Linked DNA regions of Ovis aries. The protein of the gene in region 2 purifies or fractionates together with the protein of the main gene of each other region. This does not show direct contact. Links are inferred from orthologs where the notes say so. Each region holds a gene or a part of one and is shown on either strand. Other genes may lie near its edges.

What was found.
Region 1: the proteins of MAP4K5 (region 2) and CRKL purify together in Homo sapiens (affinity purification with western blotting; 3 studies listed by BioGRID and IntAct, with this or other methods). This does not show direct contact. The link is inferred for Ovis aries from reciprocal best matches to the Homo sapiens genes MAP4K5 and CRKL.

Annotation. Positions count from the first base shown.
Region 1 is NC_056070.1:72,319,408-72,331,605, reverse strand, and holds the start of CRKL (crk-like protein), read right to left. Parts: upstream 7,959-12,198; 5' UTR 7,557-7,958; coding exon 7,246-7,556; intron 1-7,245. UniProt on the Homo sapiens protein: May mediate the transduction of intracellular signals.
Region 2 is NC_056060.1:41,561,555-41,573,037, forward strand, and holds part of MAP4K5 (mitogen-activated protein kinase kinase kinase kinase 5), read right to left. Parts: intron 8,908-11,483; coding exon 8,905-8,907; intron 8,822-8,904; coding exon 8,707-8,821; intron 8,334-8,706; coding exon 8,275-8,333; intron 7,220-8,274; coding exon 7,116-7,219; intron 5,421-7,115; coding exon 5,243-5,420; intron 2,406-5,242; coding exon 2,337-2,405; intron 1-2,336. UniProt on the Homo sapiens protein: May play a role in the response to environmental stress. Appears to act upstream of the JUN N-terminal pathway.

The DNA.
Region 1 (12,198 bases), on a different chromosome or scaffold from region 2:
CTGAAAAGCTGTTTCGCAGGACAACATCACAACATGGCCTCCTGCACTGAACCATTCTAGTTTACAGAAACGTTTCCTTTAAAAAAAAAAAAAGGGTCAACATGTTACAACAGCAAAAAAAAAAAAAAAAAAAAAGGAAAACGAAAGAGAACAAGTCCCCGGCCGCTGCCCTAAGGAGGCCAGTCGCCCCGCCCACCGGCCACCGTCCCCGCCCGCGTCTGCTGGGGCGGCCTTCCTGCAGCGCGGCCCCTCCACCGCGCCTGCCCTCGGGTGCCTGCTGCGAGCGAGCCCCCGCGTCCCGACGGTCCTGTCACCGTCTATGACACCACCACACACTCCCACGCGTCATCTCCCTGGATTGCGTCCCCGCATTAAATACACCAACGTTCTCAGGGGCCTCGGACACTCGGCCACACCACCCTCCAGAGCGCAGTCATCTGGCAGAACGCAGGTCTTTCTCATGTGAACGGTGGGCGCACAGCAGTCAGGACGCCTGGCGGTGGCGGCGAGCAGCCTGATGAAACACCTCCAAGGCCTCATTCCTTGAGAACCTGACAACTGAGGGGGAACTGCTTAGCGCCAACGCCTCCGAGAGCGCGGCAGGAGCAGCCTCGGCGAGGAGGCGCTGACACCCTCGCTGCGGTGCGGGCTGAGGCCTCCTCACGGGGCCCTCGGGTGGGTGCGCCTGGCACGGGGCCCCAGAGCCCTCACTCCTGCCGGCCGCAGCGCCCGAATGAGCGCTGTGCCAAGCCCACGGCAGCCCCTGACCGGCCCCGAGCCCCCAGCGCACACCCCTGCTCCTATCTCAAGGGCCAGAGGTTCTGTGAAAGTTTTCACCAAACCTCAGCGACTTTACCAAGAGCGCTCGGCTCCGGGGCAGACGCGCTGAGGTTTTCACTGTCTACACAGTTCAAAGGGAGAAGCAGGGAGTCCCACAGCACAGGGCCTGAGGACGCCAGAGCAGCTTCAGCGAGGCTGGCACTAAGACATCCATCTACCCAGGGACCCGCTGGCTCTACTCAGAGCTCAGGGGACAGACAGGCTCCTGCTCCCAAGACTGCAAACGCCACCCTGGCAGACTGGAGGGGAAAGGAGCGCACACGCCATCCATGCCGCGGCCGGGGCGGACGGGGTCAAGCTTCGCTAAGGGTCAGGGGACAGGCAAGCGGTGCCGCACAAACACTCGCCCCCGGCGGCCGGCGGTGAAGAGCCCGTCCGCACCGCAGGAGACGCACCAGACGTGCGCCGGGTCCCTGCGTCGGGAAGGCCCCCGGAGAAGGAGACGCCAGCCCACTCCAGCACTCCTGCCTGCAGAAGGCCATGAGCAGAGACGCCTGGCGGGCTGCAGTCCACGGGGTTGCGCAGAGTCAGACCCGACTGAGCGCGAGAAGACCTTGTGGAAGACGGGCTTACAAAGGTGCTGGTTCTCCACCGGGAAGAGGCTGCAGACCGAGGGTCCAGAGGCGCCCCTGCGGGCTCCCCACAGCTGCTGGCTGGCTGGTCCTGGGCCAGCCGGCCAGGCCCTCCCCGCACTGCTGCAAGGGGCCAGTGCCCCGTGAGTCCACCAGCTACCTGTGGTCTTGCCAGAGCTTTTCACAGAACCCTTAAGCAAGTGCACGAAGGCTCTTAGCGCCAATACACTACACAAAATCCATCAGTGTGGCAGAGGGCTCCACAAACCACAGCCTGCAGGCCCACGGCTGGTCCGAGCGGGCGGGCCGGGACAGCTTCAGGGCCCACAAATCTGACCAGCAGGCCCTTCCCCGAGGAGGTGTCGCCGCTCACAGCGGGCTCAGACGCCGGGAACGCCACAGACCCCGAGAACCAGGAAACTGCAGCGGAACCAGCCCCTGCACCCCGTCCTTTCGTAATCTGTCCCGTGACCAGGACCGTACGCGGTGCCCAGCACACACAGGGGCCCAGGCGCAGACCGCAGCTCCCTGCGAAGGCCGGAGCACGTGCCTCGAGCGACTGCGGGGCGGCCGCCGCCTCCAGGCAAAAGCTGCACGGCAAAAAAACCCACTCAGGCATCTTCAGCTCTAACAACATCCCTGGTGGCTCAGAGGTTAAAGCATCTGCCTCCAATGTGGGAGACCCGGGTTCGATCCCTGGATGGGGAAGGTCCCCTGGAGAAGGAAATAGCAACCCACTTCAGTATTCTTGCCTGGAGAATCCCATGGACAAAGAAACCTGGTAGGCTACAGTCCACGGGGTCGCAAAGAGTCGGACACGACTGAGCGGCTTCAAATTCAAAAAACAAAGCGAAGCCATCAACTGGCAGGACAGATTTTCAAAGGCCCCGGGGTGACGGACACGGAGACCGAGACCCCCTGCGGCCGTATGAAAGATTCCACAGCAAAAAGGTGGAAAACAGAGCAACGTACAAGCACCCATCCCAGGGAGACTGGCGACACGGCCGTGCAGTCAGAGCGCTCCGGGCTGGACCCCCACATCCCGCCCCCGCCCCCCGGGCCCTCACTCTGCGCCCCCAGCTCTTCTGCGGGCTCTGCCGCTTCCACCTGGGCTCAGACCCAAATCTGTCTATTTAGCTGGAGCCCTGGCCGGCCCCCTGCTGCAGACCCGTGTCCCTGCCCCAGCCCTGCCTCGCATCTCTCACCTGAGGCGCCGTCCCATCAGCCTGAGGCCACACCTCTCGCCTCACCTCCAGGAAACTGCCCAGAGCAGGGCGCCCCAGCGGCTTCCTCCCGGACTCCCCACGCAGGAGACCTCAGTCCAGCTTCTCACGCTCCCTTCTCCCGTGACAGCCCTTAATCCACGCCGCACTCCAGACTCGCCCCACCCCGGCCCACCTCGGAGCAGGCTGACCGCGACAACCCTCTTCTTAAAGACTCTGGAACGCTCCCACCGCTGGACGCAGGTACCAAACGCAGGAGGCCTGTCACAGCTGAGCGTGCTCCCTTCAAGCCTGCGGCGGCGCCTCGTTCGCAGCAACCACAGCTGCCCTTCCACCTCCCACAGCAGCCCTCACCCTTCAAGAGCCACTCCCCACAGAGCACCTTTTCCTCCAGGCCCTGCCTGACCCCCGGCCGGCCATCCGCGGCACCCTCAGGGAGCTGAGCTCGGCGGCAAGGTCACGGTCTACTTCCATGACGAGGCTGGAGTCCAGTCTCGCGCTCTGGGACGGAGGAGGCCTCAACACACTGAGATTCCTGCTGAAACTAAACCGCCACAGACACAGGGAAGCCTCTCCCCCAGGCCCCGGTAAGTCTGTTCCACAGACAAGGAAACCCCGTGTGCCACCGGGCTTGCTGCCGGGCCCCTTCGTCTCTGCGCCGCCAGCATCCCCGACTAGCGGCCCCACCTCGCTGGGGAGGCCCTATCTGGACTCCCACTAACAGAGCACTGCCTCCTTTTACTTATCAGAAGGAAAACGTTGTTGCCCGAGTGAACCTCAAAAATAATCCAGTCCAACAGTTCAGATCAAGAGAATCATTCTTCTATAAAACGTCCTCTGAATCCAAGTCTCAAACGAGAGAAGGGTCACAGGTCAGACGGCTGTCAGCACTCAGGCGCCACGGGGACAGAACTCCCGCCTGGCTGAGGTTCCATCCAGCGTCACAACAGTTCTGTTCCCATCTAAACTGAACTCAGGGGATTTAAGCTACCGGTAAGAAGAGACTCAAAGGTTACCCATAGTGCCGAATTCTATGTCAACTGAAATCAGCTACCGCTCCTCTCCTACCTGCTACTCCTAATTACGAGCCCAAATGCCCCCTTAAACACCCAGGTTGCGGCCGTGGGAGAAGGCGTGGCCTCTGCCTGGCGGCCGTGAGCGTCCCCTCTGGGCAGGCGCTCAGGTGAGGTTGGGCATCCTTTCTGGCCCTCGCACAGCTGCTGCCTGTATCAGAGGACGCGGTCTTTAAAGTCAGCATCCAGGAAGCTCCAGAAGAGCCTGACAGGGAGTGCTGAGCAACATCAGATCTGTACCACCAGAGCGTGCTCTCAGCAATATCTATCGAGCAACAAAACAGGGGGGTGGGGGTGGGGAGGTGCCTCTATGAGCCAACTCGCCTCTGTTTTTCCCATCTTTGCTCCTCACGACCCTCCTCCCAGTCATCACACAGCTACACGAGCTGGAACCGGAAACTTCATAAGAGAAGCGACCTACGCAAAGCACACTTCCAATTTTCTAGACCCGGGAAAATGTACTGTCTCTAAACTGAACCCACTCAGAAACTGGACCCTGCTGTTAAACTGGAAACAGCCTCTATTAAAACGGAAAGAAAAACCCAGGAGCACTTACCTAACACTGAACAGAACTTAACAGAATCTTGGAAGTGTTCACACTCAAGTAAGATGGAGGTGAAGTGTCTGTTTATGCAACAAGCTTCAGCCTACAAGCTGCACCCGTGTGCGGAAAAAGAATCCTTTAAAATCTGTCATTGGAAAACCAGAAGCCACTGACACACCTTAAATGTAAGATCCAAGACAGGACTGAATAGTGCAACTCAAAAGGCAAAATTAACAAGACAACCCAGAGGACAGGCAGCTGCAAACACACCAAGTCATCTGCCTCTTCCTTCCTCCTCTCCGTTCCCCTCCCATCAGCAACCGTCTTCAAACCACAGCCGTCCGTCAGCCCTGCCAGTCAGCCTGCGGAACGTCTCTACTACAGATGGACGCACGGACGGACGGACAGCTCACCAATCGTCATCACCGTGACCTGGATTGCAATAATGGCCCAGGTCACTTCCTGACTGCAAACTCCCCCCTGGCACCCCACTTCCTTCCTCTGAGCAGCCGATTCAAGCTGCCTCTGCAGAGCCACGGCCCTGGCGCGGCTGGCTCCCCACCCTGGGCGCCCTCTTGGCTTCAGCCCTGCTCTGACCCTCCTGCCTCAGGTCAGCCCCGCCTGCTAGACCCCCTGCCCACGTGGACTTTCTTCACACCGACCAATGCTGTCTTTTACTTAAATCTCTACTTTCCAGCCTGTCTCCTCACTGACATCTAAGGCCCATGATGGAGAAAGCACGTCACCCCTCTCTCCCAGTACGCATCCCTGGGATTAACTCTCCTGTAATGTCTGGACAAGGACGTACACTGTGAAGTTAAGGGGGCGTCCCTGTGGTGCAGAGGTTGAGACCCCAGCTGCCACTGCCAAGGGCTCAGTTTTGGTCCCTGGCCAGGGACTTTGGCTCCCACACGCTGCACGGCCAAAAAAAAAAAGCTACTCCCCCAACAAAAAAAAGAGATCAGTCCTTAAATTCTGAGGAAGCCAGTAAGTCGTCACTTTTTACTGAGCAAAATGAACCCCAAAAAATAACTATTAGCCAAAGCGCAGAAGCTCTGGCTTCAGGAGCTCGGTTCTGAGGCCTGAAAGAGCCTAACCACTTCATCCATCCTGCCTGGGGCGTGGAAGCACACGGCCCTGATTTTTGCCTTTGGCCAAAGCTGGCCCGGCCTTGTCTTCTACACTAGCTGAGTAATAAGCGCATCACACAGATCCGCGGGTTTCTGGCTCCGGGAGAGGCGATCCAGGTTCAGTGTGACCAAGTGAATCCTGCCAGGATCTCATTCAACTGGGGCAGCGGCAGCCCTCGGAGACACCAGGGGAAGGAAAACTCGACGGCAGCGGGACGCCCGGGGCAGCGGGCGGAGAAACAGCAAAGCTCAACTGGAGGCGGGGGCAGCGCCAGGGAAAGGCCCCAAGGGCAGGGAGGCGCGCCCGGTGAGGGGCGGGTGGGGCCCGAGCAAAGGTCCTCCGGCGCGAGTGGGCGTGTAGCGCGGGCTCCCTGGAGGCGGCGGGAGAGGGTGAGGACGGGCATCTGGGAAGCAGCACGAAGGGAAAGCTGGGGGTGGCGGCTGCGGGCACTGGGAAGCCAGGGCCGCGCCCCTTTCTCTCCACCCAGAGGGGCTCGAGTCCCTCCCTCACGGCTGCACTGAGGCGCGCGGCGAGGCCCAGTCAGTGCCCGAGAGAGCGCTCAGTCACCTTCACAAGCCAGAAGAGCCAGTTACGCGAACGCAGCTGAAGCCTCACCACTGCGGGAGCCGAGAGCCCCCAGCCTCTCACGCTGGAATCACACTGTGCTGAGCGCTGCCTCTAGCTCCCAGGCTCTTCGGGGACCTGGAGGCCTCGCCAGTCAGACTCGCCGCGGCTAGGCCTTTGTTACGCAGTATCTGATTTATAATCCCTGTCTCCCAGCTTTTAAAGTCCATTTAGCTCAGCAGTTAACCTCCTGGTCATTACACCGCGAGGGCTTCATTCTTCTCTACCTCTAGTCCACAGAAGCATCCAGTGCGTCCCCCTTTAATACGACAGCTTCTCATGTTCAGAGCTGAGACTACTATCTTGTCAGCAGATCTATCAAGTCAGAACCATCTCACCCTGAAAAAAACCTGTATTAGCACCCTGTCCTTTCTAAGCAGACGCTTGAAAAGATCAATACCTTTTATTTTTAAAACCCTACGCCATCTCTTTAGCTCAAGTTTTGCATAATCTGCACAAAAGAAGCCTCGAGCAAAATATTAAGGCCAATAATGAAGCCCAAATGAAAAGGGATGCCCAATGCTCAGTGTCACTCTGGGTTATTTTAAAATAGATACTAAGTCATGCAACTCAGTACAAAAAGGACATCTGAAATTCAACTAGCGTAGAATCTTCAGTGGAGTGTCATTCAAAATTTCCTCTTAGTAACAGTCTAGACTCATTCCACCTTGGAATTTAACCAAATGGATTTCCAGTCCATTAAAGGCCCAGCTTGGGGGAAATCTATTAAAAAAAAAAAATTCCTCGTTCAAGCCGACCTCTTCTACAGTATTTTCAGTTAATGTGTTATAAAACAGACGCCTGGCTTATTTCAACCCTGGCACCAGGCTATCAATATATGGCCCTGATATTTCACAGGTAAAGGCATTTCGTTTCTACCTGCGAAGGCATTTCCATCTCTAGAGTTTCCAAAGGCTGCCGTCCGGGAGGTCCAACCCCGGAGCTCAGAGACCCTGAAAGCGGTGCAAACTCGGGAGGGCGGGGGGCAGGGAGGGGCCCGCGGGGCGGGGAGCCGAAGACTAGCTTCAGAGTCTCAACCCGTGGCCCCAAACCGGCTGCAAGACCGGGAGCAACGCCCTGCTTCAGCAGGTAATTTGCACCGAGGACGCGACGAAGGGCAGAAAGCGCCCCTTTTCCAACTGGGCGCCCGCAGCGCGAGCTGCCGGGCCCGACGCACCGCCCTCACCCACGGCGCCCCCGGCCGGCGCCGCCGCGCCGAGCCCCGCGGCCCCGCGCACCTGGGCGCCGGCTCGATGAGCGTGGTGGTGTCCAGGTAGTGGATCTTGTAGAACTCCAGCAGCGCCGGCAGGTGCTCGAACTCCTGGTCCCCGATCTTGAAGCGGCGGTTGGGCAGCGAGTTGATGATGTAGTGGGACACCCGCGAGTTCTCGGACACGGACAGCACGTAGTCCCCCGGGCAGGTGGACGAGTCGCGGACGAGGAACACGCCGTGGCGCTGGCCCTGGAGCCGCGTCTGCGCCTCCTGGCGGGACACGGGCCCCATGTACCAGGCCGAGCGGTCCGAGGAGTCGAACCTGGCGGAGGACATGGCGGGCGGCGCGCGGGGGGCCGGGCGGGCCGCTCTCGCCGGCGCTGGGGGCGCCCCGCCCGCGGCGGCTGCGCGCCGGCCGGGCCTCGGGCTCACCGCGCGCCTACAGGCCCGCGCCCGCGCCTTCCTCGCGGCCGCGGGCCCGCAACATCCTCCGGGCCGCCGGCCTGCTCCGGGGCCGCCGCGCGGGCCCAGCCGGCTCCGGGCGCGGGCCCGGCCGAGCGCGGCGAGGGCGGCTCGCGGCGCCTCCGCTCAGCCCTGGCCCCGGCGCGCGGCCGGCCCCGCGTCCCCGCCGCTCCGCACCGAGCCCCGCGGCCGCGCCGAGCCGCACACCGCCCGGGAGCGCCGCGCCGCCGGGGCCGCCGAGCCCTGCCCCGCTCCCGAGAGCCACAGCAACAAAATGGCGGCCGCGGGCGCAGCGGCGGCCACCTCCCCCGCCCCCCCCCGCGCCCCGCGACTGCGCACGCGCGCGCGCCCGCTCCCGGCGGCCGCCGGCGCCGCCCCGTGACGTCACGCCGCGCGGCCAATCGCGAGGGCGGGCGTGCGCCGCCCGCGCGCGGCGCCGCGCTCCCTCCCGGGCCCGCCGGGGGGCGCTGCGGGGAGGCGGCGCTTCTGGAGCCCGCTCCGGGAACAAAGCGGGCGGCGCGGGCCAGGCCCGGCCCCCGGGCGCGGCCCCGGGCCGTGCGCAGCCGGGCCGGCCAGGTTAGGGGGTGGCGGGGCCGACCGCCGCGGGTGCTCAGGCGGTGGCTGGCGAAGCTCCCGCGTCCTCTCGGAGCCCTTGCCGCCTTGGCCCCCCCAGGACCCCCGCCGCAGAAGCCCCGGCCCCTGGCCGCACCCCCGTCCGCGCCGGACCGTCCGTTTCACGGGAGCGGGGTTTGGTGCGCCTTGTTCAGCCCTGGGCCTGGCGCTTCTTCGCCCCGCCCTACGCTGATCTCAGACCTGGGCGGAATGAATGACTGTCGGGGACCCCCCGCCCCCGCCCCCGCCGGCCGGTGGAGGCGCCTGTCCAGAGGGGCATCGGAGCCCGGCTCTAGACTCCTGGGGAGCCGATCTCGTTGCTGGGCTGAGCCTGTCCTGCACTGTAGGTAGGGCAGGCGTCCCCAGCTTCTGCGACCCAGTGCCTGATGACGGGAGGTGGAGCCGATGTAAGAATAACAGAAAGAAAGTGCAGCGTGAAAGGAATGCGCTTGAACCATCCCCCGCCCCGAGGAAAAACTGTCTTCCACGGAAGGGTCCCTGGCGCCCAGGATGCTGGGGACCACTGTCGCAGCGTGATGGCTGACGTTCCTTCCGGGTAAACTCAAGGGGAATCGTCACGGCCTAGGGCCTTTTGTGACTCAGCAAAGCAGGTTTTCAGCTTCCCTCCAAATACTTTCGCGTCGTGTTACTTTCGGGCACAATTTGAATAGCTCAGAATTTGAAGAGGAAGGCTTGAGTTCCAATCCTAACCTGACTTACCAGTTGACTGTATCATTCCTTGTCATATTTTTTTCATCTTCTAATATTAATTTTTCTTTCAGTTTTATAGAGAGATAGTTGACATACAGCACTGTACAAGTTTAAGGTGTACAGCTTAATGGCTTGACTTGCTTACATCATAAACTGATTATCATCACCATAAGTTTACATATAGATACAAAATTAAATACAAAAAAAATGTTTAGTGAGCATCTCAAAGATACACAATTATATCTCAGAGAAGTTATCATAGGTTGTATGCTTTGCAAGAGGCACTCAGGGAGGTCTTTTGAAGTCCAGGACTCATTTCAGTGTTACACAATTATTGCCTATAAGTTAGTCCATTTTGCTTGCTTTGCTAATGTGTGTGTGTGTGTGTGTGTGTGTGTGTGGCGGGGGGAGCTATTAATTACATTATTCTACTTTTGTGTATGTTTGGATTTTTTCACAATAAAAATAATTAAGTAATTTCTTATTTTTCCTTAGCACAGCTGAAACAAGCTTAAAAACTTTTTCCCCCAAAAAAACAGCCTAGCCACTAAGAGGTAATGAAATGGAAATGAAGGGGACAAACGACAAGAAGCTTTAAAAAGGGGCCATAACGTAAAAAAGATTTGTGATTCTGCTCTAGCTTGCTCTTCCCGAGGTTTCCAGGTAGCATTGTACTTACTCTCTTCTAAGATAGTTAGTTTAGACTCAATTGACAAGGCTTTTCCAGCAACTTGCCAGGGTTCCTGTCCCTGAGGCTGCCTCTGTACTGAGGATTCAACGCCAGCTCTCTTTTGTGGCCTCGCCACGTGGCATGCAGGGTCTTAGTTCCCCAACCGAGAATCAGACCCGCAGCCCCTGCCTTGGAAGACAGGGTCTCAGCCACTGGGCCGGCAGTGAAGTCCCCTCACCGAGGAATCTTTTTAATTATGTGTTTGTTTCCCTTTTCTGTGCGGGGTCTTCATGGCTGCACGGTTTTTCTGCACTTGCGGCGAGCGGGCTTCTCGTTGCGGTGCCTCCTGCTGCAGGGAAGGGCTCCAGAGCGCAGGGCGCGGTGGTTGTGCCGCTGCTGCCCAGCTGCTCCGTGGCTTGTGGGATCTTACCAGATCAGGGACCGAACCCACGTCTCCTTCACTGATAGGCAGATTCTTTACCCAGTGAGTCACCAGGGGAGCCCCCACCCCGCCCCACTGACTTCTGATTCTCCCCTGTCTGGTCCAACCCTGCAAGCGATGGTTAAGGCCGGACGGTCTTCCCAGGTTGCTGCCTTACTGAGGACCCGGGAGGACAGTGTCTGTCCCTTCTTCCTGCCCTAGATTCTTTGCTGGCAAAGACAGTAAGGTAGAAGAGGCCTGCCTGTGTTACGGGGAGACGCAGCAAGCGCGCTCACCGCGCTGACCTGATTGGGTCGGGGGTTCTCAGGCGTGGTCTCCACGAGCCCTGGTTGACCACTGCCTGGGTTAGACACATCCTTGGAGACCCGCCTCGCCCTCTCACCCTGCAGTTCTCCGTCACTGCTCCCCCATGCTTCATGTCTATTTCCAAATTTTTCTCCCTAACACAAAAGAGGAGCTTATTGGTTATCTTCTCCCCCACCATTAGTTTGCTACTTCGATACTAATAAAATAATGTCCAATCCCGATTATAATTTCCCATGACGCACTATTTAAAATATCAACCTGCTCATCTCTTCTTTCCCAGGGGGACATCTCTGCACGAGGCTTGGCTGCTGTGTTAGGAAGTTCTACCGACCCCTCTAGAAAACACTGGCCGACTTAATTCCAGTGTCTTAAAGTCTGGTCATGGCTCCGCCTGGCATTCTCTAACCTAGTTCTAATGGCTCTGCCGCCTCTTGTATAAAATATCCATTTTCTCGGACTTCCCTGGCGGTCCAGTGGCTGAGACTCTTTGTTCCCAGTGCAGGGGGCCCAGGAGTGATCCCTGGTCAGGGAACTAAGATTCCGTGGACCGCAACTAAGGGTTCGCACACCAGACTGCAGACCCCGTGTGCTGCCCACTTAGACTCGAGACAGCCACGTAGGTAAATAAATTAGTTTTTTTAAAAGTCCACTTTTGTGTCACTTGAGCTGAAAGGCAGCTTGTCTTGTTTCTCCTGATTTCAGAGCATCCTGGAGTGCCTTCAGCGAAATCCCCTAGAGGCACGCTGATTCCCTCTCCCATCCCTTCTCGGCCAGTGCTGTGCAGCCCTTTAGACCGGGCGTCCCCAGATTTTCCTCTAAAGATCCAGACAGGAAATATTTAAGGCTTTGCAGGACAAAGAAGAAAATCGAGGAGTGTTATGTAATCTTGCTCCAGCCTCTTGATCTTCCTCCCTGGCTCCAGGAGAAACTCCTGGAAAATGGGAGCATCTTAACACCTCAGGGGATCTGCACCCGTTTTTATCAATCTGGAACATTCTCTCACCTGATGAGAAAAATTTTCTGCAATCTTTTAAAAGGAAGTTCAGAACATCATAGTGGTTGAGTGTTAACTGTTTCATCACCCGAGCATGCGAGTGAGAATAATGGGATTCATCTGGGATAATATTTCACTTCATTGGGCTTCAGCATCAGTGTCCCCTGATGCTGAAATGTTGACCTGCCAGTGCTGAGCTGGGCGTAATTAGGCTCTGTGTCACCCCTGACGATGTCTCGCACCCAGACGGTGCGGCCCACCCTGCACAGTTTTAATGGAGCATGTTCACTGTGGGATGAAAGCGCAAGAGTTAGTTGCTCAGTCCTGTCCAGCTCCGTGCAACCCCGTGGACTGCAGCCCATCAGGCTCCTCCGGCCACGGGATTCTCCAGGCAAGGACACTGGAGTGAGAAACCATTCCCTTCTCCGGGGGATCTTCCTGACCCAGGGATTGAACCTGGGTCTCCTGCGCTGCAGGCAGGCTCTTTACCGTGTGGAGGCCCCAGGGAAGCCAGATTGTGGGATGGTATGTGCAAGAATTCTCCGAGATTCTTCTCTGGACGTTTGCCTTTTGTTATGAATACGTTGCAGATTAATCATCTTCAATTGAAGTTCGGGTGGGAACTCCTGAATTGCCCAATTAAATAGATTTTGAAATATGGAAGTTTCCATTGCGCTTGGCATCAAGGTCTGAAAGATTCTGCTGGAACTGTAGTTACAGCTCAGAAAATATATCTGGTGCAGGTCTGTGTGGGAATGAGATCTTGCTGCCTCTAACTGCG
Region 2 (11,483 bases):
AAACACATTCTGATTTTTTTTAAAGTGCAGTGTTTTTTTAATAGTGGTTAACTTGGTGCCTAAATATTCAGCAATATGAGTTGATTTGTTTCCCCTTACAAATTATATAACATATAAGTAATATAGCAGTATTCTTAACTTTAGTCTCTGATCAACATTCTACAGAAGTACAAGGGACAAAAAGATGGTACTCTCAAGTCAACTTATCAGTAAACTGTGGGATACACAGTATATGTGAATAATTCTATTTCTCTTTCGTCCATTTGTTTTTTAATTTAACCATTTTAGCTCTGACTTGAAAGATATTTTCTCTCTGCAATACTTCGTCATTTGTCTATCATGATTTGTGATTATAGGCCTATCTCTATTGCTGCTTGGTAAAACTGCTTTATAATCTATAGTTGACAAATAATTTTTTCTGCTCCCTTAAGAGAAGAAAAACCAACTGAAGAAAGTCAACTTCCCATTTACCAAGAATAGCTGGGAAATGGAAGGCTTAGTTAATCAAAGGTTTAAATTTTTTTGACAAAATACGTAAATGAACAAAATGAAAACTAAGTACGATTTATTATCCTTAGATAGCTCAGAAGGTATTTAGGGGTTTAATGTTAAAGGTTAAACATTATTACAATTAAATTCTGATCATCTTTTTATCTGATTAATCAGTAATGAGCTTTCTACTTGTTTTGAGTAAAAAAGAATTCACTGAATTCACTTAAAAGTAACCAAAAAACACTCCAATCTTATCAGTACTCAAAGAAGCAAAAATACTTAAGGGATAATGGGCAAAGGAAACATTGTGGAATTTGGTTTACTTATCTATAATATTAGATGATCTTTATGAGTCTATAAGGCAAATCCAAAAGGGAATGCTTTAGAAAAGAGAAATTAAGACAAAAATACGGCAAATTCAGCAGTGGAACAATTTAAAAAATAACCCTAAGCATCAAAGAGAAGCTTTAATTATTTTCAAATACTGGAATGAGTCAAATCACAGAGAATACTGCCAACTTTCAAATATAATTCCAAGTCTGGGAGAATTTCACTTGCAGGATTCACTGCATTCAAGTAAAGCAGATTTTAGGAATTAGAGTGCTTTGTTTGAAAAATTGAAAAAACCTGTTAAAGTTTTTCTGCTTCTTCACTGCATATATAGCACAACATACATCTATAAATAACATCTCTCCCTACATTAAAAGAATTACAACTACAGGTAAAGATCTCAAATCTATTTGTAAATTAGAATATTACAGACAGGATTCTAAAAGTTCGTGTTATATAAGTGATCATATGAGTATAATCAATTTTTTCATTAATTACAATGATTTATGAAAAAACTCTCAGAATAGTTTATACAGAATTTTACCCCAAGGTTATGGCAAACTGTTCTAATATCATTGTCCCTTGGTTCCATGGGGGATTGGTTCCTGTATCCCTCAAGGAGATCCAAGGATGCTCAAGTCCCTTATATAAAATGGCCTAGTGTTTGCATATAACCTATATGTATCCCTCCATAGAGTTTAACATTTTAGAATAGTTTTATTGAAATATAGCTGACTTACAATATTGTGTGCGTTTCAGTTGTACAGCACACCAATTCAGTTATATGTACGTGTATATGCTCACTTCAGTCATGTCCAGCTCTTTGTGACCCTATGGACTGCAGCCCACCAGGCGCCTCTGTCCATGGGAGTTTCAAGGCAAGAATACCGGAGTGGGTTGCCATACCCTCCTCCAGGGGATTTTCCTGACCCAGGGATTGAACTGGCATTTCCTTCCTCTCCTTCATTGCAGGCAGATTCTTTACTACTGAGCTATGGGGGAAGCCCACATGTGTGTGTGGGGGTATATATATAATCTTTTCAGATTCTTTTCCCTTACAGGTTATACATACTATTGAGTTATAGTTCCCTGTGCTAAGTCATCTATGTTCCTAGATCACTTATAATACATTAACACAATATAAAAGCTGTATAAATAGTTGTCAGGCCCTCAGCAAATTCAGGTTTGTTTTTTTGAGCTTTCTGGAATTTTTTTCTGAATATTTTCAATCCATGGTTGATTGAATAAAGGATGTAGAACCCATGGATACAGAGGGTCGACTGTACAATGTTTCCAAGTAGGCCAAACAAAATAAAGAAAAGGGTCACAGAGGACAGTACTGACAAACAGATCAATTAATTACTATATATGTAAATAATTTACATTTTTCATCAATAAAACATGGCTACTTAAGGTGGAAAGTCAAAATCTACTGATTCTATTAGAATCTAGCTCATGAAAAGGTATGTTATATCAAGTAGAATACTTGGACTAAACTTTAAAATAGTACTTACTGTCCAAACACACTAAAACAGTATCTCTCTCCAACTGTGTTACGTGAATGGAATCTAACTGTTGGTTGCCTTGAGGGGAAAAGGAAAATACGGTTACAGTTATATAATGTGCTTTAAAAATTAAAACTTAGAAAAGAAACACAAATTCTGATTTTTTTCTGTGATTTTAAACTAGCCTTTGAAGTTTAACACAAAAATTATATTTCGTAATTGTCTTCTCAAAAAAAACATATGTAAGTCAATTTAAAAAACAAAGTCTTAAGCAAGGCTAACTGAGAAAGGCTCAATATTATATTTAATTAATACCTCGGCTGGTTCCAGAAAGGTATATTACAAAAATAAAATGAAGCAAATGGTAAATATGGGGAAGGAAGTAAAATGCATGTTATACAGTGATTAGATTTTGCTCTGCATTTTATAGTAGCCAATGAAAAGATGAAAACAAGGTCAGGTGGGTCACAGTGTCTCTGAGATTAAAAAAAAAAAGTCAGTAATTCAGAAAAAGCAAAAGTATTAATGAAACTATGATCAGAGAGCAATTTTTCTGGTTATTGGGGTGTGAGTGTAGGTTGGAGTTCCTTTATTAACAGGACACCAGTTGACATAATGAACAATACTGTCAACAGTATCTTTGCAGGAAGCAACTTTCACTACTTGGCTGATAAACATCTGCTAAGATAAGTGATGACATTTTTGCAAAACATTTTTGGTAAAACTATTTTAGCCACTCAGATTGCATGAATGGTCTAGATGAAACCATGCAAAGATTTTAGATTATTTAGAGCAGTCATTCTTAACTACATCTTTTGGGAAAACCCATAGATACTCTCCCTTAAAAACTACACATCTGAGAATAAACACAAAATCTTACACATTATTTTGGGGGTATTTGTGGATCTTCCAAAATCCATATATAGTGAAGAATCCAGATGTAAAGAATTGGTAAAGTGTTGTTTCTCAGGCAATATTCCAAAAAAAAAAAAATAGCTTTTCTATTAACATACAGTTATTGCGTGCTGATGATAATTACTAAGCAACCTTGGATAAAAGGATACTGCAACAACTAATCAAAATACGACTAAGAGAGTCTTGGAATAGGAGTTCATTTTAATTGTTAAAACTGCTGTCAAGTCAAGGTATGGTCTCAGCAATCAACATAGCTGGGAGATAGATTAGCAATCATTTGTGAAAATGGAGAAACCTAATAAGGACAATCTCAGCTTTAGGGTGATTTGAATGTATACCCTCAGAGTTCTGGCTCTCCTCGGGAAGTAGTTTTGGGTCTGCCATAATTTTAGCCTAGATTGTGTTGTAAGTGGATAGAACAGTATACCTCTGGCATTAAAAAGCAAACAACAACCCCTGAACCTCACCCCTGCAAATTCACAAAAGGACTCATTGAATGCCCAGCCTTAAACAATGTAACCACCTAATACAATATACAGAAGAAAGTGGTTTGCAAACTTACATTAGATAATCTTACGAAATAACTTTCTCTACACTATTATTATATATGAACAACAAACAAGTTGAGGCTGTCTGCCAAACATGATCTTGGTTTTAAAATGAACGGACCTATAACCCTTCTTTTTAGCAGTAACTATCTAATACGAACACATTTCTATTTGGCTTGCTTATATTTCATGATAATAAAACAATGCCATTTGGACCTTCCTGTTAGCTATACCATGAGGGTATGCATCTAACTCAACCAAAAGCATTAACAAATTAGAAAGAAAAATGAGTGCAGGGGGCAGGGTAGGGGGAGAAGAGTGGAGGATAGGGGGAGGGTAAAGAATATACTCCTATTTTATTCTACTGGAAATTAGGATCTGGTGCACAAAAACAGTGATAATAGTCCAAGGCATGCTGGAACTGGCTTGTACTGGACTGATAAATTTTTACAAATTTTGCAAGTCAGATGACATTAAGTTGGTATTTTGAAATTGGCTGTGCTGAGAGCATTTATACCACAGAAACAGGCAACTGCTATAAACGAGGCTTCTCTGCAGCCCAAGAGTCTGTTGTTAAACATTTACTAGGACACCAATCAGTAGGTCATACTGATTCTTATTCTGAAAGTGACATTAGTGCAGTTCTACATTAACTTCAATAGCTGGGATGTATAAAGAGTTCTTGTAATTTAGCCTAAAGATGATCAAAAGCCAAAGCTATTTAATAAGAACTTATGATAACTTATAACAGACTTCTTCTCAAGGTGATAAAGAAAAGGGGGTCAGTAATGAAATAGTTATAACTAAAGCTTGCTTGACTTCGTATGTAAAAATGGCTTGATAAACCTGGGGTGACAATACACAAGTACAATAAAAACAGTGATTTTTAACATAAATTCTTGACTGATTTGTTCCAATTTTAAAGTTTGAAAATAAACTTCCCAATCTTTTCAGAGCTTTCACTGAGACATGTTTGATAAAATTCTAGGCTAACAAACCATTCTCAGAAAATGCAAGAGATATAATATTCCCTGTAACTTTAAATGGTAATGCTTGGAGGCCACACATGAGAAGCTTCTATTAAGTCTGAAAAGTACTAGAACTCAATGATTTTAGGAAGTGTAGGGGGAAAAACTGATTTTAAAAAAAGTGAATTTCTTTGCTTGAGAAGATAAAATCTGAAAACTATCTTAGAAAACTTACTTAGTAAGTCCAAATATTAACTGACAACAACTAAGACTTTTAAATGCTGGGAATCATTAAAATATTTCTTGGTAAAATACTTTGTATGTATCAAATTGCCTCTGGCAAACAGAGATCATAAACTATATGTACATGATCCTCTGTGCTTACTTGGGAAACTCTACTAGAAAGCCCATGCAGGTTGAACCTGTTCTGCTTCTTTGATAGGCAAAAGCATTAATACTTTAACATAAAGTAAAAAACACTTACCAGCACCAATTTCTGTAAACCATGAGGATGCAGAGTTCAAATTGATTGTCTCAAACTGAACTACCTGATTTAATTCCGTGCCTTTGCTAATAGCTACACAGACCATAGGATATTCCTGTTCTGGTATCACCAGCATTTCAAAAACATTCAAAGGACTTGGCAAAGGAAAATCAAAGTGCTGCAAGAAAAAAGGAGCATAATTTAGAAACAATCTCCTCATTCATTCTGTTGCTGAATAAATTCAACAGAAAGGCTTTCATTTTCTTGATTGATCTAAGAAATGACTCCCTCTTACTGGCACAAAAACAGACATACAGATCAATGGAACAGAATAAAGAGCCTAGAAATAAATCTACAGACCTATGGTCAACTAATCTATGACAAAGCAGCATTATGAATGTGGGACAGGCTCATGTAAATCAATGAGGTTAGAACCCTCCCTCTTACCATATACAAAAATAAACTCAAAATAGCTTAAAGACTCACAAAATTGTAGCAATATTTTCTTAGATCAGTCTCCTAAGTCAAATAAATAAATAAAGCCAAAAATAACAAATAGGACCTAAGTGAACTTAAAAGCTTTTGCATAGGAAAGGAACCATAAAATAAAACAAAAAAGAAAATGTACAGAATGGGAGAAAATATTTGTAAATAATGTGACCAACAAGGGCTTAATTTCCAAAGTACATATCCTGTTCATATAACTTGAATATCAAGAAAAGAAAAAACCCAATCAAAAAATGGGCAGAAGACCTAAATAGTCATTTTCCCAAAGAAGACATACAGATGGCTACTAGGCAAATGAAAAGATGTCCAACATTGCTAGTTATTAGAGAAATACATATCAAAACTACAACGAGGTACCACCTCACACCAATCGTAATGGCCTCTATTAAAATGTCTAGCAATAATAAATGCTGGGGAAGGTTTGGAGGAAAGAGAACACTCCTACACTACTGGTAGGAATGTAATTTGGTGCAGTCACTATGGAGAATAGTATGGAGGTTCCTTAAAAAACAGAAAAGAGCTTCCGTATGATCCTGCAATCCTACTCCCGGGAATACCCTGGAAAAGATGAAACTAATTTGAAAAGATAGATGCACCCCAGCATTCACAGCAGCACTATTTATAACAGCCAAGACATGGGAACAATCCAAGTGCACATCAACAGATGACTGGCATAAGACGTGCTATTCAACGGACTATTATTCAGCCATAAAAAGAATGAAACATTGCCACTGCAGCAACATGGATGGACCTAGACAATATCATGCTTAGTGAAGTAAGTCAGACAAATAATACATGATATCACTTATATGTGGAATCTAAAAAATAATACAAATGAATCTCTATACAAAATAGAAACAGACATAAAAAACAAAGGGGGTGGGGAATGGATAAATAAGAAGTACAGAATCTACATATACAAACTACTATACATAAAATACATAAGCAATAAGGATTTATTGTATAACATAGGAAACTATATTTAATAGCTTTAATAATCTATCACGAAAAAAATCTGAAAAAAGAAATATACAACTGAACACTTTGCTCTATACCTGAAACACAATATCATATAATACTTCAATTAAAAAAATGACATCTAAATGATCATGATAAGGATCAGTTTTCCATAAACATCTATTTTAGAGAATTGGCCACATTTTTCTTTATGACTGTGTTATTTCTGGAAATCTATTAACATAAAATAAAGATGAAATCTTTAAAGTCTTAAGAACACAAAAGCCCTTAAACCAAATAAATACCTATAAACATGATCCCGGCTGTTAGCAATGGGATTCTACAATTTTAGGTTCAATTATACATTCATGTTTTCTAAAGAAGCAAATGTAAACAAATTAATATATACCTTTATCAACATGAATTTCTGCATTGGCTCATACCACTGAAGTAAAACAATTCCAGACTGTAAAGCTCCGCAGAGGTATTTATGTCCCGTGTAAGGGTTTCTGACTGGAAAGAAACAAAACAGACACACCCAGAACACTGAATATTTTTATATGAAAACATAAAGTTTAGCTAAAACCAATTACTGAATTATACTCACCCAAAAGCTAACTCAGTTTTCTTTATAAAGGCAGTGTTGATACATTGTTGTTGCTCAGTTGCTAAGTCATGACCGATTCTTTGCAACTCCATGGTCTGGCAACATTGGATAGTCTTAGGATGGGGAATAATCAGGCCATAAAGACCAATCATGCAATTTAGGGTAGGGGCTTTGGGTCATGCAGCATCACTTGACCTCCAGAGGGGCTGGATACTGAGGTCAGCCACGTGGGCAGTCGAGCACGCCTATGTGATAGAGCCCTAGTAAAACCTCTGAACACTGAGGTTGCTGAGTAAGCTTACCTAGCTAGCTAGCAATGCTGTGTATTATCACAGGTCACTGCCCGAAAAGTAACACTATCCATATTCTATGGAGGACAACAGAAGCTCTACATCTTGTATCTTTCCTGGACTCTGCCCTATGCACATCTTCCTTTAGCTAATTTTAATCTATATCCTTTCCCTGTAACAAACCAAAGCCAAGCGTATAACCACTTTCAGCAAATTCTGAGTCATACCAGTGAAATTCTGACCATGAAGGTTACAATTGGTAAACTTGTAATTGGTAACAGAAGTGAGAGTGGTCTTGTACGGCTGCTCCCCCTAACTTCAGAGTTGGGCAGAGTCCTGAAATAATAATGTTCATAAAGCACTACTCAATAACTGTTAATGGTAAGTGCTAACTGAAAGCTAGGATATTAGCAGAGAGAGAGCCTTAGGGACTATGGTTAAAAAAATCTGAGGAACATTGCGCTATGAGAAAGCATCAGGTCAGGGCTATCTTCACGTGCTTTTGTGCCATGTCCCACTATACATTCCTGAGCTTCAGTGGTCCCTTAACTCCTTATTTAAAACAAATATAAAGCTTCCCTTCCTTTATTTAATACTTTAAGAACTTTACAGATAATTTTAAAGATGTTAAAAGTTCTAACCATTCAGTTTGAGAAATAGTATTTACTCACCTATGCAACATTTGTGGCAGCCCTTTGTATCAGGAATCTTTGTGGTTAAAGCGAACTTTCTGTAAACACAGGACAATATAAATGTACTCTACTACAGTGGTTCTCAAACAGTGAGTGATCTGTGAATCAGTTCCATCAGAATTAGTCAAGGAGCTTTAAAAAAAAACATCTTAAACTATGACTCCAATCTATATGATAGTATAGGTCTGAGGTGGGGCCTGGGAATTTATATCATAAAACTTCTATGGATGATGGTCATGGACAGTCAAGTTACAAAACACTTATCTTTTGAACTCTATATGACATTTACTTTAATGTAAACTACCTTTCAAAATTAAGACAAGGGAAGTTTTTCAGTGTGCAAGAAGACTGGTTGCTTTAAAAATAGACACTAATTCCCCTCACTCCCAGCAGAATCAAAATATTTAGTACCTTGGTAGTATGCGATCTGGAAACCTATGAGTCTGAATATGGGCAGCTAGTCCTGGTTTTTTGGCTTGTTCAAACAAAGCAATAAGATTATGAGAGTAGAGTTGAAAGGTTTTTCCTAAAAAAGAGAAACATGTTATTTTTATTAGAATTATTTAAAACAGAGAAATACAATTTTCAAGCAAAAGAAATAATAATTACCTTCTAAAATGATGAATCCAGACATGTTCAAAAAGCCAAGCAAAATAGAAAAACATAAACAAAAATACATAGTTAGTACTACTTTGAAAGCTAATAAGTAAAATAAGTTTTAGGAAAGTAACACATAATTGTGTTTCCCAATACATAAATTAGATATATTCTGACTAATAAGTAATCTGGACAGAATATATGTAAACCTTAATGAAGTGAACATAGAAAAAGAAATTGTTAAACATTTTTGCAAAATAGGCTGAGTCACAATGATGCACATGTGATTTCAGTACAACACGGAAAACTATATAATCACTACATTATCTTTCTGAGCTACTCCCATTTAGGAATAATCTACCACATAGCCTTGGATTAAAGCTGACTGTGAAAGAAGTGTTAGATAACATTGAAATACTAAGAAAAGTAAAGCAAACTAATACTATATGCCATAGGATATAACAGGGCTACAAGTATGTACTATCATTATTCAGGATAACTAGACTATGATTTCTATATAATCAAAACCACATATTTAATCCACATTAAAAGAGGAAGATATGGTAAATATCTGACTGCTTACTATATATGACATGGTACTATAACAGAACCAAATAGTATCTATCATTTTACTATGAGAAAACATGAAAAAGAGTGACTTTCTCCTCACAAAATTTTCTGTATCTTTTCAAAATGCAGCATTCTGCCTAACAGTATACCACCCTTCCTTTCTTTAGTCCGCCTTTATAGATAACTAGTTACCTAAGCAGCTAACACGTGTACATGTATGTACACTCATGCACAGAAATGCAGACTCTTAAACAGAACGTTTTCTCTTATTGAGCAATGCTACCTATCTTCATTCAGTTCCACAGGTCATTTTAAGTAGAATTTGGAAAGAACTAATTTATAGGCTAGCTTTTTCCTGCCTTTCTATAGTTATTTTATAAATATATAAAATGTACTCTGTGTGGCTTTTAAGCTTATTCACACAGACAGGTATATAAACGTGGTTGGAGGAAAGTGACTCTATATGAATACAAATCAGAATTGTTAATTCAAATAGAATTAGGTTTATTTTCATAATATAATATTTTAATATTTTATTAGATAAAAGTAAAAAAAAAAATCGCAGACTCAAAATCAAAGAGAATAACTGTCATTTGAGGACCCTAGTTTTTAAAAAGACATTTGTGGACAATCAAATAATACACTCTCTGTAAAAACTCATCAGCTCAAATACACAAATTCCTGAAGAGTCTCTGCTAGGTGATGGTTAGTAGAAGAGTTTAAGTTATATACACTCACACACACATACTTAAAATTATGAAAATGACATTTCTTAAATTAGCCACAATTCATAATGAGTTAAAACTGTATCAGCACTGATGTTTTAAAGCATGAGTAGCTGAAAGGTATACTTAATAACAAAAAGTCTGACAGTATAGTAAATAATAGCTGGGATGTAATCATCAGAGTATCAAACAAAACAAAACAAAATTAAGGAATGTTAAAATAACTTAGTTATTCAGAGCGGAGAAAGGGATGAGTGCTATTTTAATAGATGACAGCATCAGGATTAAGGAAAGAGAGAAATAATTAACTATCTTGTACAGTGGTCCCATCACAAGTACTGTTCCAGGATCCCCACGCAGATACCAAAATCTGAGGTTGCTGAAGTCCCTCATATAAAATGATGTCATGCAGCACTTGCATATAACCTATGCACACCCTTCCATATACTTTAAATTATCTCCAGATTATGTATAATACCTAATACAATGTAAATGTTACATAAATAGTGACCCAGTGCCTGGAAAATTTCAAGTTTTGTTCCTTTTTGGAATTTTCCAGAATTCAAAAAAAAAAACTTCTATCTGCAGTTGGTTGAAGCTGTACATGCAGATAGAGGGAGCCAACTATGCTCTACTATCAGAATGAAAGCACGTAGCGAACCTTTAGGTAGCCACTTAAATCCAAAATGTAATAAAATTTTTTTTGGCAGGTACTTATTGGGGGAAAAAAGAAAAAGCCTAAAACAATACCCGTCTATCCCCAACAAAACAAAAAAGGAAAAGCACAAACAACAAAATTGGAATAGGCTGCTCCAAAACCCTTGTGATTATTTTTAAGACTTTATAAAGTTTTGGTCCAAGTTGGCTAATAAATATGTGGTCCGGAATTCTACCAGCGAACATCTCTTAAGTCTTCACAGCTAACTAAGTACTCGTTATATCTCACTTAATCCTCACAGCAATCTTGTGAGGTTGTAATTGTTACTATCCTCCTCATATTACAATTAAGAAAACTGAGAGCAGCAACATGGATGCATTCAGAGATGATCACACTAAGTGCAGTAAGTCAGAAGGAGAAAGACAGACACCGCAGGAATCACTTATATGCGGAATCTAATGTGAGACAAAGAGCCTGTCTACGAAACAGAAACAGACTCACAGAAGCAGAGGACAGAGTTACTGGTTGTCAGCAGGGAGGGGCAGTGGGGAAGGATGGACTGGGAGTTTGGGCTTAGCAGCTGTAAACTATTACATACAGAATATATAAACAACAAGGTCCTACTGTATATAGCACAG